3 linked regions of the Daphnia pulex genome follow. The protein of the gene in region 1 purifies or fractionates together with the protein of each later gene. This does not show direct contact. Links are inferred from orthologs where the notes say so. Each region holds a gene or a part of one and is shown in the gene's direction. Other genes may lie near its edges.

What was found. Proteins that work in one complex are often made in the same cells at the same time.
Region 2: the proteins of zinc finger CCCH domain-containing protein 18-like (region 1) and RNA-binding protein with serine-rich domain 1-B-like purify together in Homo sapiens (affinity purification with mass spectrometry; 3 studies listed by BioGRID and IntAct, with this or other methods). This does not show direct contact. The link is inferred for Daphnia pulex from reciprocal best matches to the Homo sapiens genes ZC3H18 and RNPS1.
Region 3: the proteins of zinc finger CCCH domain-containing protein 18-like (region 1) and FACT complex subunit Ssrp1-like purify together in Homo sapiens (affinity purification with mass spectrometry; 3 studies listed by BioGRID and IntAct, with this or other methods). This does not show direct contact. The link is inferred for Daphnia pulex from reciprocal best matches to the Homo sapiens genes ZC3H18 and SSRP1.

The regions. Positions count from the first base shown.
Region 1 is NC_060020.1:4,875,861-4,880,127, forward strand, and holds the start of zinc finger CCCH domain-containing protein 18-like, read left to right. Parts: upstream 1-1,467; 5' UTR 1,468-1,610; coding exon 1,611-2,299; intron 2,300-2,355; coding exon 2,356-2,551; intron 2,552-2,619; coding exon 2,620-2,694; intron 2,695-2,761; coding exon 2,762-2,913; intron 2,914-2,986; coding exon 2,987-3,292; intron 3,293-3,376; coding exon 3,377-3,901; intron 3,902-3,976; coding exon 3,977-4,267. Other genes in the region: trehalase-like, read right to left, coding at 1-17, 93-238, 398-738, 804-886.
Region 2 is NC_060025.1:2,683,413-2,689,074, reverse strand, and holds RNA-binding protein with serine-rich domain 1-B-like, read left to right. Parts: upstream 1-2,263; 5' UTR 2,264-2,345; coding exon 2,346-2,347; intron 2,348-2,448; coding exon 2,449-2,598; intron 2,599-2,654; coding exon 2,655-2,813; intron 2,814-2,880; coding exon 2,881-3,245; intron 3,246-3,305; coding exon 3,306-3,441; intron 3,442-3,505; coding exon 3,506-3,665; 3' UTR 3,666-3,879; downstream 3,880-5,662. Other genes in the region: dehydrogenase/reductase SDR family protein 7-like, read left to right, coding at 22-600, 660-744, 808-1,168; transmembrane protein 11, mitochondrial-like, read right to left, coding at 1,257-1,430, 1,492-1,604, 1,671-1,891, 1,973-1,995. UniProt on the Homo sapiens protein: Part of pre- and post-splicing multiprotein mRNP complexes. Auxiliary component of the splicing-dependent multiprotein exon junction complex (EJC) deposited at splice junction on mRNAs.
Region 3 is NC_060026.1:11,627,769-11,634,165, reverse strand, and holds FACT complex subunit Ssrp1-like, read left to right. Parts: upstream 1-2,314; 5' UTR 2,315-2,482; coding exon 2,483-2,533; intron 2,534-2,605; coding exon 2,606-2,791; intron 2,792-2,858; coding exon 2,859-3,074; intron 3,075-3,141; coding exon 3,142-3,317; intron 3,318-3,374; coding exon 3,375-3,510; intron 3,511-3,586; coding exon 3,587-3,690; intron 3,691-3,752; coding exon 3,753-3,881; intron 3,882-3,954; coding exon 3,955-4,062; intron 4,063-4,125; coding exon 4,126-4,309; intron 4,310-4,369; coding exon 4,370-4,475; intron 4,476-4,527; coding exon 4,528-4,829; intron 4,830-4,899; coding exon 4,900-5,499; 3' UTR 5,500-5,601; downstream 5,602-6,397. Other genes in the region: matrix metalloproteinase-2-like, read right to left, coding at 1-288; coiled-coil domain-containing protein 25-like, read right to left, coding at 997-1,078, 1,146-1,348, 1,406-1,585, 1,656-1,747, 1,810-1,882. UniProt on the Homo sapiens protein: Component of the FACT complex, a general chromatin factor that acts to reorganize nucleosomes. The FACT complex is involved in multiple processes that require DNA as a template such as mRNA elongation, DNA replication and DNA repair.

The DNA.
Region 1 (4,267 bases):
TCTAACATTCCTCTGACCTAAATACATTTCAGTTTAAAATTCGTTCTTTAGCCCATTCATGTCAGAAATATTTAAAATGTTTTTATACATACTGTTTGATTCATTTGAGAGATAAGAAGACCTTTTACGATCCAATAAGAATCCCAGTAATAGGATTCTCTGAATCTTCCACCGGGAACAATAAATGGATTCGGAACATATACAATGGAGTATAAATCAGGATTATCACGAACGTCGTCTAGAATTACAACACAGAGCCCATAGTCCAAGCAGTGAAAGAGAGAACACCAGCAAAGAATAGAAATTTAAAATATGATTCTCTTATCTGGCGGAAAGAAAACTGGACTGCAATTTAAGGAAATCAATAAAACCATAATGTTTCTTTTTAGACCATCACCTTTTATCTGTCGCCCGAGAGATTTCCATCCTTCATGAAGACGATTCCCCCAATTGCGGAACTCTGAATTATTAATTTGAGATAGAAATGGAGGATCACTGATCCAGTCCGATGGATCCCAATTCTGGAATTCCAATCCTTCAGCTTCAAAATTGCTGTCAACAAATGCCTGTAATTCTTCTTTGGTTGGCTGGTTTTCAGTGTCGGTCATGAACTGTGAGAAACTAGTTAAGACTATTTCTGGATTAAAACGCAATTTTTTATCCACAAAAGTTTTGGAATCTTTGTATAACTCCGCGTTTTGGACAGCATGCAGCAGGGGTCCATAGCAATAAATTTCGCTAAAATTAAAACGTAATTCTGGTAATTAAGCAATTTCATTGTTAGATTACAGAAATTTTCTTGCCTGGGGCAGGGTGGTGGCAGTTGAAAAGTTGAAGTTGAAAAGGTCCAAGCAATTATTGCTAAAACGGTAATTAATCGAGACATTCAATAATATGAATTTTAAATGTTTTGCTTAAAAAAGAATGTAAAATGTTTGAGAGAGGTTAAGCATGGAGCTAAACATGCAATGGGCCAATGACTAAACGAAAACGAATCAAGTGACTAAACGAAAATTATGTTTCGTAATCAAAAGGCTACGATAGATCAAAAACTTATCAGTCTTGTTTTTGTCAATATTTTCAGGTCAGATAACTCTACGATTGATTGAACATTGGAAGTTTTGAACCCGTCCACCGAAACTTAAAAAATAAATGATAACTCATGTTGACGAAAGCAGAAAACTCTTTCGTTGAGTATTGACTCAACTTAAATGGCTAATGATAAAAGCGCAAATCCGCTATCCGCATGATTTCAAACCTTTCTTTTGTGCGCGCACAATTGTTTCAGCGTTGCCAAAAATAAAAAAATTTAGTACCTTATTATTTTCCAGTTTCAACTCTTTGAGTGAACCAAATCTAAAAAAAATAGTTAAAAAAATTTAAATACTTTCAAATAGTTTGCGTCTGACTATAGAATAGATGATAAATGTATTGAAATGTTCAAAATTTAATTGGCATCATATATTATAAACAGCCGACAAAAAACGGGGCTGTCATGGCGGCTTAGTTGCAAGCCAGGTTGTTTGGATTTTTGGTAGTTTTTCCCAGTTTGTTGGCTAAAGTTAGTAATTGATGGTTACCACTGTTGTTTAACGTATATTAGTAAAAGAATGAGTCAAAGCGGTTTAAGTGCTCCAGCAAGCCCGGATCCTGACTTGTCTGGAACCAGTTCAAGCATAATCGAAGGACAGTTGTATACGAATTCGCGTCCGGAAAGCCGAAGCAGCATTAGCAGCAACTCCATGGTTGATCAGGACCAAGCCGCTGAATCCAGTCGTCTGAGTTCAAACGTAGATGAAATTGATAGAAAATCTGATAGTGGAGAAGTGATTGGGCTTGATGAAAATGCCCAATCAGGTGGCTTGCTGGATGAACATAAACAAGAGTTAATGGCTTCAGATTCAAGCAAAGAAGATGAGGATAGTCTTGAAATGGTATCAGATGATGAAATGGAAGCTAACGAAAACTGCAAAGATTCATCTAGTAAAAAATCTCCTCAAATTTTGGATCCATTGATTAAAGACACTGAATTAGACTTTGAAGAAGATAATCTTGAAGAAGAGCCCAAAAAGCCGATTGAAGACAGAAAGCCTGAAAAAGATGACGAAGATGGAGAATGTGATGGAGAGAAGCCACAGAGAGAAAAGGAAGCAAGTGAAGAAGAACTAGAGGAAGGTGAAGAGTTGGAAGAAGGTGAAGTTAGCAGCGAAGAAGATGTTGGCAAACATGCACGCATGGAACCTAGGCCTGTTTGTAGATTTTACAGTAAAGGCAATTGTACTTGGGGTAATAATTGCAGGTAAGAACTAGTATTTTTCTTTTTTTGAAAGAAAAAGTATTGATATTGTTTTACAGATTTGTTCATCCTGGAGTATTAGACAAGGGAAATTACAATATGTTTGCTCCTGCACGTCCATCTGCCCATAACGGGCCTTCAGCACCCTACGAAAGACCTTTTGATCGACCACCGGTGGTTCCACTCATCCCGCCAGCAGAGTGGGCAAATTCTCAGCCAAGGGTCGCTAATCCTCGACCTCCACGACATCCACAGGTACACGGTTACTTACTTTCAGCTAAGTCAATTTTCGTTATTTGAGAAACTTCATTTCTGAATTGTAGCCGGCCGAGCCACCTCGGACTGATGCAACCGGTGCTGAATCACCTTGGGAAAGAGGACTGAGACAAGCCAAAGAGGTATGAGACAATGCCGTGATTATTTAAGTTTATTGCTATGGGTTCATAATAAACGTTTTCTTTACAGATGCTCAAAAAGTCCAGTCATCGTAAAGAAACTGACATTGACTTCGAAGAAAAAAAACTAAATTTAGGTTTAGGTGAGGAAGAATTGGACAAAGAGAATGACTACTACACTCGACCTGCTAGTCCAGTTTTACATGGAGACGTCCCTCCTCCGTAAGTTAAATCGCACTGCATTAAAATCTGTTTAAGAGTTAAATAGGATCTGTTAATTTTTTTACTCCTCTAGATTTGAAGAGCCAGATACAGAACCATACCATAAATTTTTACCTCCATCAGCTGAAGGGCGATGGCCTCCGTCACGCTACCCGCCTCCTCACCGCCACCCCCCACCTGGTTACCCTTATCCGTACGAAGGCCGGCGACCTTACCCACCAGAATCAGAGTATAGAGAAAGGGAATACTATCATCCGGAAGGATATGAGCGTCCGCACTACTACGGTCCAAAACCAAGTGAACGAGATATCCATCCATCTGCCAGTAAATCCCAACCTCAACTTCCTCCCCCTCACGAAAAAAGATGGTCTGATGAGAGGTCAGTTTTAATTGATGCAATGTGACTGCGTCTGTAGAACCAAAACAAAATCCTTTATTGAACCTTTTAAATTGTTCAATATAGATACGTGGAAGTTGTGCCTCCAGCTCAGCGTGGACGTAGTGATGAATGGTGGGATCCGTGGATGAGATCAAGATCTCCTGGTGGTGCTGGAGGCGGAGGTGCTGCTGGTGGTGGTCCATCTTCAAGTGCAGTCGTTGGCGCCGGAGGAAATTCGGCTGGAGCTAAAGGTTCTAGACGACGTAGCTATTCGTCTGGGTCATCTTTTTCAACATCGTCGTCGACATCGAGCTCAAGTTCGAGTTCATACTCGAGCTCAAGCAGTCGTTCCAGTCGTTCCAGTGCTAGCTCACGTTCCACTTCAAAATCTAAATCAATGAATGTAAAACGACGGCAAGGACGGAAGGCAAAAGTCGGAGACCAGCGGGTTAAAGGGAACCATAAGACCGTCTCTTCACTTCCTGTTGCCAAACATAAAACATCTTCATCCGCTCCCATCCCGTTATCGCCCCCGCACCCCCAATCCTCACGGAAGCCCACAGATAAGCAGCGGAACATCCATGAGAGGTCACCTCAAGTTCGAAATAGGTAAATAAATAGCTTACATTGCTAGGCATATGTCAGTTCAATGTGACGTTTTGCATATTGTCGTGGTACACATAGGGACTGGTCAAGTTCTTCGTCCCGTTCACGTTCCAGATCTCTTTCCAAGATGCGCCCTGCGACTAAGAACAATAGCTCTGCCCCTCCCACGAAAGCCCATGGAGGACGAGCTCGTGCCTCCTCCGGTTCGTCCAGTTCTAGTGAATGGGAGTCATCTCCACATTCAAATGACATCGGACGACCCCGTCGACCATCGAACCGTGGCCGACGAGACTTTGCCGAACGTAAAGAGCTACGAGGTGTAAACCCTCCACCAGCGTCATCTCATCCATCAACTAAAGGAAAAGCTGT
Region 2 (5,662 bases), on another chromosome or scaffold:
TTTTTCTTGTTTTTATTTTAGGTTCATTAGAGTCACCCAGCAAAACTGGACCTGATGCACAGATTCTGAGGCTGCCATTTAAAGGCAATCTATTGCTGAATTGGGCCAAAAAATGGTTGAATTGTATTGCCTGTTTGCTTTTCTTACCATTAACAATAATAGGAAGATTGGTTGAAGCATTTTTCGCTATAAAGCAAAGAATTTCGAGACATGATTCCAGTCTCGAAGGTAAAGTTGTTCTCATCACGGGTGCCAGCTCTGGTCTCGGCGAAGCCCTGGCAAAGTGCTTGTACACAGAAGGATGCAAGTTGATTATCGCGTCCAGGCGATACACTGAACTTGATCGTGTGAAAGAACAGTTACTGGGTTCTGGCTTGAGAAAAGGCACCATCTATCCACCTGTAATCATTGAACTAGATCTTCAAGACCTAAACAATTTAGCGGACAAAGTAAGAACTATTCTCGGGGTCTACGGATATGTCGATATACTTGTGAACAACGCTGGAATCAGTTACAGAGGAGAAGTAACTGATACTTCCCTGGAAGTGGATGCCAAAGTAATGAACATTAACTACTTCGGAACAATTGGATTGACTAAAGGTAAATACCGTCAAATGTGATCTTTTAAAAATCGGGTTTCTGATTTAATTGTAACTTAGCTATTCTTCCTTCAATGATAATACGACAAAGTGGCCATATCGTGATGATTGGATCACTTCAATCAAAACTGGCAATTCCGTTTCGGTAAGTTTTATCATGTTTTTGAATACATTAATATTTAATTTTTATCGTCTATGTCGATTCCAGATCGGCCTATGCTGCTTCCAAACATGCACTTCAGGCATTTAGCGACAGTCTGCGAGCGGAAATCCATCGTCACAAGATTGATGTGACAGTCATTAACCCCGGATACATCCGCACAAGTTTGTCTCTGAACGCGCTGACGGGCCGAGGAGACAAATATGGACAGACGGATGAAACTACGGAGTCGGGAGCGGATCCACTCCAAGCTGCATATGAAATTGTCATTGCAATTAAGGAAAAAACCCAAGAGCTGATGCTCTGCTCACTCTTTTATCGTTTAGCAGTATTTCTTCGTGCAATTCTACCCAACGTTTATTTCAAACTTATGGCGCGTCGAGCGGCCAAGAGCAAAAAAAGTCGTTAATTTCTAGTAGAGAATCTCTAATACATTCTGATATAATAAGGATGTATTGTTCAGTTTGTACATTTGGGAAGTTTTCTTTATAACAAGACTACTTGAAGGCAATAAAGTACAGCTTCCAAAGGGTAATGCTAGCTGCTGTAACACAGATGGTGCAATGAAGAGTCTTCCGTTTGTTATCATCTCTTCTTACGAGAACTATGGGACTGGAAGTGGTCAACCTATTAACTGGTAATTTGGCCAGTCTTTTTGTATCCATTTCAACCTGAAGCAAAACCGATATCTGCTATGACCTTTGCCAACTTAGTCAAGTGTATGTATTCTACCTGGTATTTACAGCAAGGATCAAATTGCCAAGATGCTGTGTACAGTCCTGTACACAGCAAGGAAAGGAGACCTAATGGAGTGTATATGTATGGACGATTATCACAGAAAAATCCTAAACAGGAAATTTAACAAAATTAGACTTATATAATGCAACAACTGAATACTAGCAACAATTTACCTGTTATGACCGAACCAAGTCCAGCAAGTACTGCTGTCTTGTGAAGACAATTTCCAACGGCGATCCATCGCGCCGTTTCATCGCCTAGTCGAACTGGCTCAATGACAATTACTGGAACAGCAGCTTCCAGAGCTCGTTCTAGTTCTAGCTCAAATCTTTCCTGGGCGTTTTCACCGTCATAGATTTCTCTTACGACCGCTATTTCCGCCGAATGTGGCCCGCTAAAATTTGAAACAGCATCATAATATTATTGTGACGACCGGAAGCTTATAATATTTTTAAACAGTCATGCAAGGGATTACCTGCTCTTTCTCCTGTCTGCCATTTCTTTTGCCACTTGGCCAGTGTTTTCAAGTGGTTGCTATACGTACTGACGGCCTTGTAGAGTTTCGGCAACAGCCCAAAAACAATCATTGCCGAAACATTTTTTCGTTGCCGTCGGCTGTCGTACAACTAGTTTAACATTTTAATAATAAAAAATTAAATAATCTTTGATTTAATCTTTAAAAAATTCACATAACTTGTTCCAATTAAAAAACTATAACTTTACATTCATAAAAATAAAAACGAGAATCTATTTAATACAGGCAACGTTGTGCAAGTGGCATTAAGCGTCTGTTTTTAACGCTCCTCCCCTTTATCAACTCGTATGTTTTTCAATAAAACTTTCTGAAAATGTGAGTAAATCGAGTTAAATCCTCAGCATCATTTAATAATTTAGTAAATTTTTACGATGAATCTAAATTAACAATATTTTAAATTTGTGTAAATCACTTAGGCCGGACAAAGAAACTGGCGATCGAAAAGACCGGAAAGCCGGCGAAGATTCCAGTAAATCAAAAGATGCTAGCAAAGACAAAAAGGATACCAAAGATTCTGGGAAGAAAAAAGGCAGAGCTTCAAGCAGTGATAGTTCTTCAAGCAGAAGGTAGTGTTAAACTTTGTTGTGTTTAATGAAACCTTCAGCTTAATGTGACATTTCAGTTCTAGATCGTCCAGCAGCAGCAGTAGCAGCAGCTCTAGTTCACGATCATCCAGCAGTTCTTCTTCAGACTCTAGATCATCATCTAGTTCATCTAGCTCTTCTGATTCATCAGGTTCCTCACGTTCCAGCGGTTCATTAAAGAAGCACCAGAAAAAGAGGTAATTATTCTAGTTGGATGACGGTAAACAAGTTTCTTGTGATAACAGCATTTTTGTTGACGTACAGAGCCCCAGCGAGTGATAAGCCAAAAGTTGATAGCAAACCTGATGAAGAGAAAACAAAACTGGATGGAGAAAAGAATGTTGACAAAGACAGAAACAAAGAAAACAAACGATCCCGCTCTACATCTCCCCGGAGGCGTCGTCGCGATCGTTCACCTACACCCAAGCCACTTCGAATCCACATCGGCCGACTGACGCGCAATGTCAACAAGGAACACATTAACGAAATTTTCTCCGTTTACGGAACCATCAAAGCTGTCGAGTTTCCCAACGAACGTGCTGGGTTAAGTCACCTCCACCGGGGCTTTGCTTACATCGAGTTCAGTACTGCCGACGAAGCAGAAAATGCAATGAAGCATATGGACGGAGGTAAAGTAACGTTTGTTGGTTACTGCTATAAATACGTTTTTAATCTCAAATAATCTCTAGGCCAAATTGATGGACAAGAAATCACAGCCGCCCCTGTGCTGATCCCTAAAAACCGTCCACCACCACCTCGACGGAATTCACCACCCAGAAATCGACCGGGCCGTTGGGGCATGGGTGGTGGTCGATCTCCACCAAGGTAATATACTACTAAAGTAAATCTTTATTCCGGTTATTTGCATCTGTTGTGTTCATTTCTACAGATTCCGAAGACGTTCTCCCCTACGTCGACGATCTCCTCCACGAAGGGACAGAGATAGGAGACCACCTCCACCTGCCCGTTCCAGGTCTCGTTCACCCAATCGCCGTTCAGGTGGCAACAATCGCCGTTACAGTCGCAGTTCATCATCTTCTTCGCGTTAAATAAGACAATCATGATTTATTTAACGTTGAAGAACGTCCACTCTTTTTTTTTTATCAACTCAACTTTGTGCTCGTGATTCAGATTTTGCTTTCGCCCGAGCTGTTGCTGATGAGTCAATAGCGTAAATGCCACACGTATTCCGTAAATTTTCCCTTTTTCGATGGAATCCTGCAAGACGATACAATATCACCTGACAATGGCATTTGTCCTTCAGTTGTTTCTACTACATTTCTTTTTCATTTGAAATGAAAAGTCTTATTATTATTTTATCTATCAATTTAAAAAGTTACCCAACCGCAAGTTTATGTTGCCATCTGACGTTTTCCAGTAATCCGAGTAGTAATGCTTTCTTTTTAAAGTCAATGGCTGCTGGAGGAGAAACCGGATAAGCCTTAAAAAAAAACTAGTTGGATCTGTTTGTTGGAAACTCAATAGAAGTGTGTGTAGCGGGACATGACAAGTCAGAACACTTTCATTCCGGTTTACAAGTGACATGTGAAAGGCGGGAGATACGGTTTCGCCTCGGTGTTATAAACACAAAGAAAGGAACAGCAAATTTTTATCAGGGGGAGGGTAGAAATTTCTCACAACCGGAATGTAGCTGTTTCTAACTGCTTTTTTCCTCCTATGAAAAAGTCGATTTGGTAAATTGTGTTGTCTTCCTACATCCGGCAACGGCGCGCCCAACAGTTGGAACAAATTTGTTTGCACAGCTGTACTCAATTACGGAAGTCTGTTTGGTTCTTATTATCCTCTTAGCAGTCAGCGAATCGCATTGGAAATGTTTTTGAGAATATTTTGTTTGTTTTTTTTTTCTTCGACCACAATCTCTTCCACGGCTGAATCAACTTGCACCTCGATCCCCAACCGGTTAAATCGTAGACATGAGCATCACGATAATTGTAATTTAATGGACTTTCAAGGCGGGATAAGTAACGCGGCTGAAATTATTTCGCCTAAGGTCAAAACTTGTTTAAGAGTTAAAAGAGTTTAGTCAGAACAAAATATCAATCTTTTATTATTTTCGTCCGGAACGGAAAAAAGTTCTCACGACCGTAACAAAGACGACATGCCCCTCTAATTTTTGTTTGTACTTTGTAAACTATCCGTGTAGTTGCACTGAAGTATAATAGGCCCGTACTATACTTATCTGCTGGTCCCGTTGAGAATAGAAATAAGAGCTTCCCTACCATAAACATGTTGTCCATAGAATAGAGCCCGTTAATGATGTTATTGATACGGTTTCTCCCTTCCCATCCCTTATTGCGGTTAGTCACTTCGCTTTCACGATCGAGTGGACTGTGGGATTGTCGAACTTTTTGTATACAAACGCCGGATTTCCCCCCCTTCAACACGACGGAGGGAAAAAACAAACAGAAAAAATATGTGAAGAGAAATTTCTGGATTTCAGAATTGGAAAATTTAAACAAAAGACAAATGTAGGACGTTTCTTAAAGGAAGATTCAATCTACAGTTCTGGTCTAATACCATATTTAGTTCCAGGTCCATGATAAAATTTACTAATTCAATACTTTCTAATGAAAATGTTGTAATTACACCACCACGGGGTCCACAGCAGCGAGCGAAACCGGTTATTAGACTTCATTTAAATAATCTTCCTGTTGGTACATCGAAGGAGAAGGTAAAATGCAATTGCAGTCGCGAAAAATTGCCATGGTTACGTAATCATTGAATTTTAGCTATCGTAACTCAGTTTTATAGAGTCGTCGAGCAGCAGCAGTCACGAACGATTGATTATTGATCAAATCGCTTCGAATAAACTGTAGCAAGCAGTAATAAGCACAGCATAGAAAAATCGATGGGCGTGTATGGAATGCAGCCGACGTTTGAAATTAGCTTTGGTATACTCACACTGGCATAGCAGCCGCCATAGTCAAAGAAAATGGGGAAAAGAAAAAGAAAAGAGTGAGTGTATTAAAAGGCACGTTGGCAGCCCGAAGTCGGTCAGTCTCCCGTCGAATGTTTTTAGCAGTAG
Region 3 (6,397 bases), on another chromosome or scaffold:
GGATGCAACGTTATGATTTTCCGTGGGTGAAACGTTCCGAATCGATTCCGGAGAGGACAAGTTTTGAGGATGGATTGACGCTGATGGTTTGGTGCTCACGGACAGGGATGAAAGCGGAGGCTGGGCGGTGGTGACGACGGCTGGAGCAGCTGCTTTTAGGCTAGAAGACTGGGGAATTTTTCTAGTGGCGTTAATTGGTTTAGAAAGTACTGGGGCGCAGTCAGAGCCCATAGAACACATCAGCCAAAACATCAGCAGAGACTTGAACGTTAACACGGAATTCGGCATTGCGCTCTACTCTAGTCGAGACGGAGTGGACGAAAGCACTCAGCATACACGACGGTATCCACTTGAAGACTGAATTCCGTCTCGAACGTTTTAAACTTGATGTCTCGGTTTCACTTTTGAGGTCAACTACCCGTCCAACAGATTCTGACGTCGCAGTAGGAAGGAAATAAATGTGAGAGGAAATCCGTATTCCTTAGAGATCCTGGTTTCGCTTCCGACTAATAAAATTAAATAAAAATTTCTGTTTGATTTCCTGAATGAAAACCAGAAGTCTTGGTTTACACCCATTTTCTTCCGCTTTCAGACGGAAGTTGCCAATCTTTTTGGGGGTGAGAATCACTTCCTGTGTTGCGCGACTCTGGTGCTCAGTGTGGTTTCGAAACAATATTTCAGTGGTAAACAATAACTATCGATGGGCATTTGATGACTTAGAGAGATCTGCTCGTCATCATAACCTTTGGCTAATGTAAACAAAATGTCAAGATCTGAAAATTGGTCATCTGGAATTAATCATAGCTATACTTATAATCTCCCTATATTAAAATATATTAAGAAATTATGTTTTATTTCCACATTTTTATTGACCAAGAGAAAACTCGAGTCAAGTGCGAGGAATATTTTAATAGCACATATACTTCATACGAAAAGGCTGATCGGTTTGTGATCGAGTTCGCATACACTCGGCTGGTTGTTAACGTAAGCGATTTCTTACATGAAGTCATCGGAATCGTTTCCATCATCATCTTTATTGGTCTTCATGTTCGTTTGCTTCAGCAAGCGATCGTAGCTCCTAAACATGTAAAAATTAACATTTCTGTGTAAAAAAATAAATATAGTGTTTAGTAAATCAAGGTCACCTTAGTTCAGCTTCATCCTTTTTTCGCTTTTCTTCTTCTCTCTCCCTTTCTTTTTGTTCTTTAAGGAGCCTTTTCTTGTCGTCTCTTTCTGCACAGTCTCTCTGTTCTCTTTCAAACCTTAAATCAGGTTTTTTCTCAACTTTGGTTTTGTTGAGACGGTTTACAATTTCATTAATTCTTTTCTCCACCCTAATCTTGCGAACCTATAAAACTTGATTGTTAGATAATGGATAGGAACACATTAAGAAGGAAATCTGTACATCTTTTTCTTTGTGAAATCCAACTTGTCCAACTTCCATACCAGGAGTCTTTTTCAAATTAGACCACAGGGTGTAAACAACATCAATGTTGTTCATTTTATTCCCTTGGATGCTGTTCGCTTTACATAATTGTGCTGCATCTTCTAAAATGGCTGCTGGAATATCATCAATTACTTGACCCTACAAATAAGAATAGTAACAGAGCTGTATTAAAAATTGTTTTATTTGATTTAATAAAAAAAACCCTTACCTTGTTTAGTCGTATGTAAACATGGGCTGACGATAGCTTGTCAACGTGGAACCAAACATCTTCAGGCCATCCCCACTTGATCAACTCCTCATCTAGTTGTTACTACAAGGATTAATAATCCCATTTTATATCTTACTGATTGATTACTTCTTACTTTCATGTTTTTCTTCTCCCATGAAAAGTGCGCAACTGGGTTGAACGGCGGTGCTGACGAAATAGAAAACCATTTTAAATCTTAAAAATATAGTCAACTAATTTGAGAGGGCCAGCGAGAAAACATTCAGATCCAAATTCCAATTTTTTAACACGTGGATATACTATTTTCTACAATAGTAAATGCAACTTGACAATCCGCCTTGCGGCTGACAGTACTTCGGATAACACTAGAAGAATACGGTCGATCCCTCTTGACCACTTTTTGATCTTTTGATCATGTAAAGCTCTAGAAAATCTATGGTAGTGAGTGCCATCTGGAGTCTCAACATTGTAGAATCCACATTCCACAATCCTGAAATCCTATCCAATCCAATCAACGAAAAATCCTCTTCCCCAGTTTAAATTTCTACTTAAAAATAATTTTTCTATTAAACTATGATTTATTTCAAATGTTCAAATACGGTATCAAATATCTTTAAAATCTAGCGTTGCCCAAACGAGTTTCACTGGCAACGCTTTATGGCCATTCCTTATACTTCTCCGCTCGGCGCGAAGTAAAATAACCGACTGCTGGTGTTTTACATTGTTACGATTATTCTCTTGCTTTCCAGCTCGTCTAGTTGGATTTTTATTCATTTCGCCAATCGGGATTACAATTTTTTCGTTGTGTGATGGATTTTTTAGAGTTCTCTGATGTTTCAGCTGAAATTAAAGGCTCAATGGTAAGAGGCTCGCTAAATTGTCATATCGGCTGCACGTGAATCTTCTTCTATTGACAAAATTTTTTCTTCTAGACTCCAGGCCGTCTAAAACTAACGGATCAGAGTATCGTGTTCAAGAATTCCAAAACGGGTAAAGTTGAACAGATAAGTTCTTCTGACATTGAATTGGTTAACTGGCAGCGACTAGCTGGTGCTTGGGGACTACGTGTATTTCTCAGAACCGGAGCACTTCATCGCTATGGTGGATTTAAAGATTCAGTAAGTAATTTTTTAACATTTGAAAGCTTTTTTATTTTCAATTTCCTATTAATTTGGTTTTGTCTAGGATCAAGACAAGCTGGCAAAGTTTTTTACTCAAACCTACAAAAAAGACATGCTGGAGAAAGAGCTGAGTGTCAAAGGATGGAATTGGGGCCGTGCTGAGTTCAGTGGTTCAACTATGTCTTTTGAAGTTGGAAACCATACTGCCTTTGAGATTCCTCTAAGCAATGTGTCCCAATGCACAACAGGGAAAAATGAAGTCACCTTAGAATTCCATCAGGTGGGTACTATTATGACAAACAATGCTGCAGACATCTTACCTACTGCTTTATTTTCTCTAAAACTAGAATGATGATGCATCAGTCAGTCTGATGGAGATGCGTCTCTTCATTCAGTCCAATGATCAAGGTGGAGATGATGCTGTTGAAGCATTCCAGAAGCAGGTGATGCCTAAAGCAAGTGTCATCAGTGCTACTGGTGATGCAATTGCCATCTTCAGAGAAGTTCAGTGCCTCACACCAAGGTATTTTCTATCATTTGTACTTAAAACATTTGCTCATTTAGTTTTTATCCTTGACAGAGGTCGCTATGACATCAAAGTTTTCCAATCATTCTTTCAACTTCATGGTAAGACATTTGACTACAAGATTCCAGCCTCTACTGTACTTCGCCTGTTTTTACTTCCGCACAAAGATGGTCGGCAAATTTTCTTTGTAGTAAGTTACACATCTCTGAAAAAGAAATTAAGAAAAGAATCATCATTAATCTACATATTTTTATTGTGTAATTCAGGTAAGCCTTGATCCACCTATTAAGCAAGGTCAGACGCGTTACCACTTTTTGGTCCTTCTCTTTAACAAAGATGAGGAGACATCTTTTGAAATACCATTATCAGAGTGAGTAATTTTGAATAATTCAACATTTTCAACACGTCATCAAAAAACGTTTGTCCTAACAGGGAGGAATTGAAAGAAAAGTTTGAAGGCCGACTTTCTCGTGATTGTAATGGTCCAACTTATGAAGTTATGAGTACCGTCATGAAGGCCATGGTTAACCGAAAGGTCACTATACCTGGAAATTTTACTGGGTAAAATTTTATATTTTCATTTCAAGTGTTCTAGACTGATTTCACAGTTTCCTTCTTTTTTAATTATTTATAGCCATTCTGGAACCCCCGCTGTTGGATGTTCCTACAAAGCAGCAGCCGGATACTTGTATCCGCTAGAACGTGGTTTTATTTACGTTCATAAACCTCCTATTCACATTCGGTAGAATTCGTTTCCCTGAAATTTTTGTTTGCATATTTTTTAATTTATTCTTCCTTCGCACAGATTCGAAGAAATTGCAAGTGTTAACTTTGCTCGTGGCGGAGGAAGTACCCGTTCTTTTGACTTCGAAGTTGAGACCAAAAATGGGGTTGTTCACACCTTCAGTAGCATTGAAAAGGAGGAATATAACCGCTTGTACGATTTCGTAAACAACAAGAAGCTCCGCGTCAAAAATACTGGCCGATCCGTAAGATCTAGCAACCCATTGATAGTGTTTGTACTAATCAGTTTTTGTTGTACGTAATAGGACAAGTCCGCTCATGGGGATGATTTTGGCGATTCGGACGAAGAGGAAGCGCCCGACGCATATTTGGCTCGTGTCAAGGCTGAAGGCAAACAGCGTGACGCAGTTGGTACGTTTTCCTTGCTTAACGAAACAAAAGCCTTTCCACTAACATGTGCCAGTTGCAGGTGACGATTCGGGTGGAGATTCTGATGAAAATGACGAAGACTTCAAACCTGGTGAGGAAAGTGACGTAGCAGAAGAATACGACTCCAATGTGGCTACGACCGACTCGGAAGCATCCGACGCATCAGGTGGAGCCAAGGCTAGTAGTGCTGCGAAGGCTAGTAGTGCTGCCAAGGCTGGCAGTGGTTCTGGCAGTGATTCCGATTCCTCGTCCAAAAAGAAGAAAAAGAAGGACAAAAAAGAGGAGAAGGAGAAAAAGGAAAAGGAACCCAAGAAATCCAGTAGCTCGAAATCGGCGGTAATATCATCTTTCAATTTGCCAATAATTTCAGAATTAAAGTTTTTATCGTTTATTAATTTTGTTGTAGGCCCCTAAAACTCCCAGATCGCACAAATCCAAGAAGGATAAGGATGCAAACAGGCCCAAACGACCACAGTCGTCGTACATGCTGTGGTTGAACGACTCACGCGAACAGATTAAAAAAGATAACCCTGGCATAAGTGTCACAGATCTGATGAAAAAAGGTGGCGAAATGTGGCAGAAGGTTGAAGATCGATCTATATGGGAAGCCAAAGCTAAAGTTGCTAAAGAGGCCTATGATAAGGCTATGAAAGAATATACTGCGTCTGGAGGAGGATCGGCAGTTGCTAGCAGTTCTTCCAAAAGCAAGGACAAAGAGGAGAAAGCCGCCAAGTCGTCCAAGTCCTCTAGCAAGTCGTCAACCAAAACGCCAACTAAAACGCCAACCAAAGCTGCTAAAACAACTCCAGTTAAATCTCCTGGCGACTTCAAAAGTAAGGAATACATCAGCACCGACGAAGAATCCTCCTCAGCGTCTGAAGGCGCCAAGAAGAAGTCCAAGGGCTCCAGCAAGAAGACTGACAAGAAAAAGGTTGAAAAAGAAGAAAGCGAGGAAGAAGAAATGGAAAGTGAACCAGAGTCCAGCGATGTGGCTGACAGCGATTGAAGTGGGTGTATCACATTATAGTGTCATAAAAACGTTATTATAAAGGCGTCCGTTGTAGCTGCGTTCTCCGTTATAATACAATGTAATTTCGTTTCTTTATAATCGCCTTTCTCGACTAGTCGACTACATGTGGATGAAATGTTTGAAGACCGAAGTAGAAACTTCCATATTCCCTACATCAAACTAGTTCCCGATCCTTTTAAAAATAAAATGTTGACCACTGAGTAAAGTTAACCAAGCGGACAGATTAAATATAGTCTCGATTGCCACAAAAGTTGAACCATTTCAGTCTAATTTGGTTAAGTTCTCTGAACTGACTACCAAACCTCCGAAAGAGATTTTTTTAGCTAACCCAATACGAAGTTTGGGTCTACGTGATAAACGTATCTATTACGGTAATAGATACGTTAAGTATTACCCAGTATTAAACACAAAACCCCTGAAACATTCTCATCCTCTCGAGATGGTATTCAATTATGTACAACTGTATGTAGAAAAAATGCATTTCAACCTAACTTCATTTTGTTTATTTCTAAAAAACAATTAAATTTCTTTACTACACAAATTCATTTACAGTTCAAAGGGAGTCGACGATTTCCTCCTCCAACATGAAACCAGTGAAATGGGTGTGGTGGAAATTGTCATCGTGCAAATACGCTCCTGACGAAAGGTAAGAAATTTCTAACCAGACTGTATCTCCTTTTTGTAAGTTTAGAGTCGACTGGAGGGTCACAGGGCTCCATTGATTAGCGGAGACGAAAATGGAATCTTGAACCGACGCGAGTCCAATTCGATTGCCGTTCAAAAAAAGAGAGACTTGTAAACCGAATTCATTTTTCACACTATACGATGATAAGCAAGAATCAGAGCAAGCAGGAAAAAACGCCAGTCCCGCGAA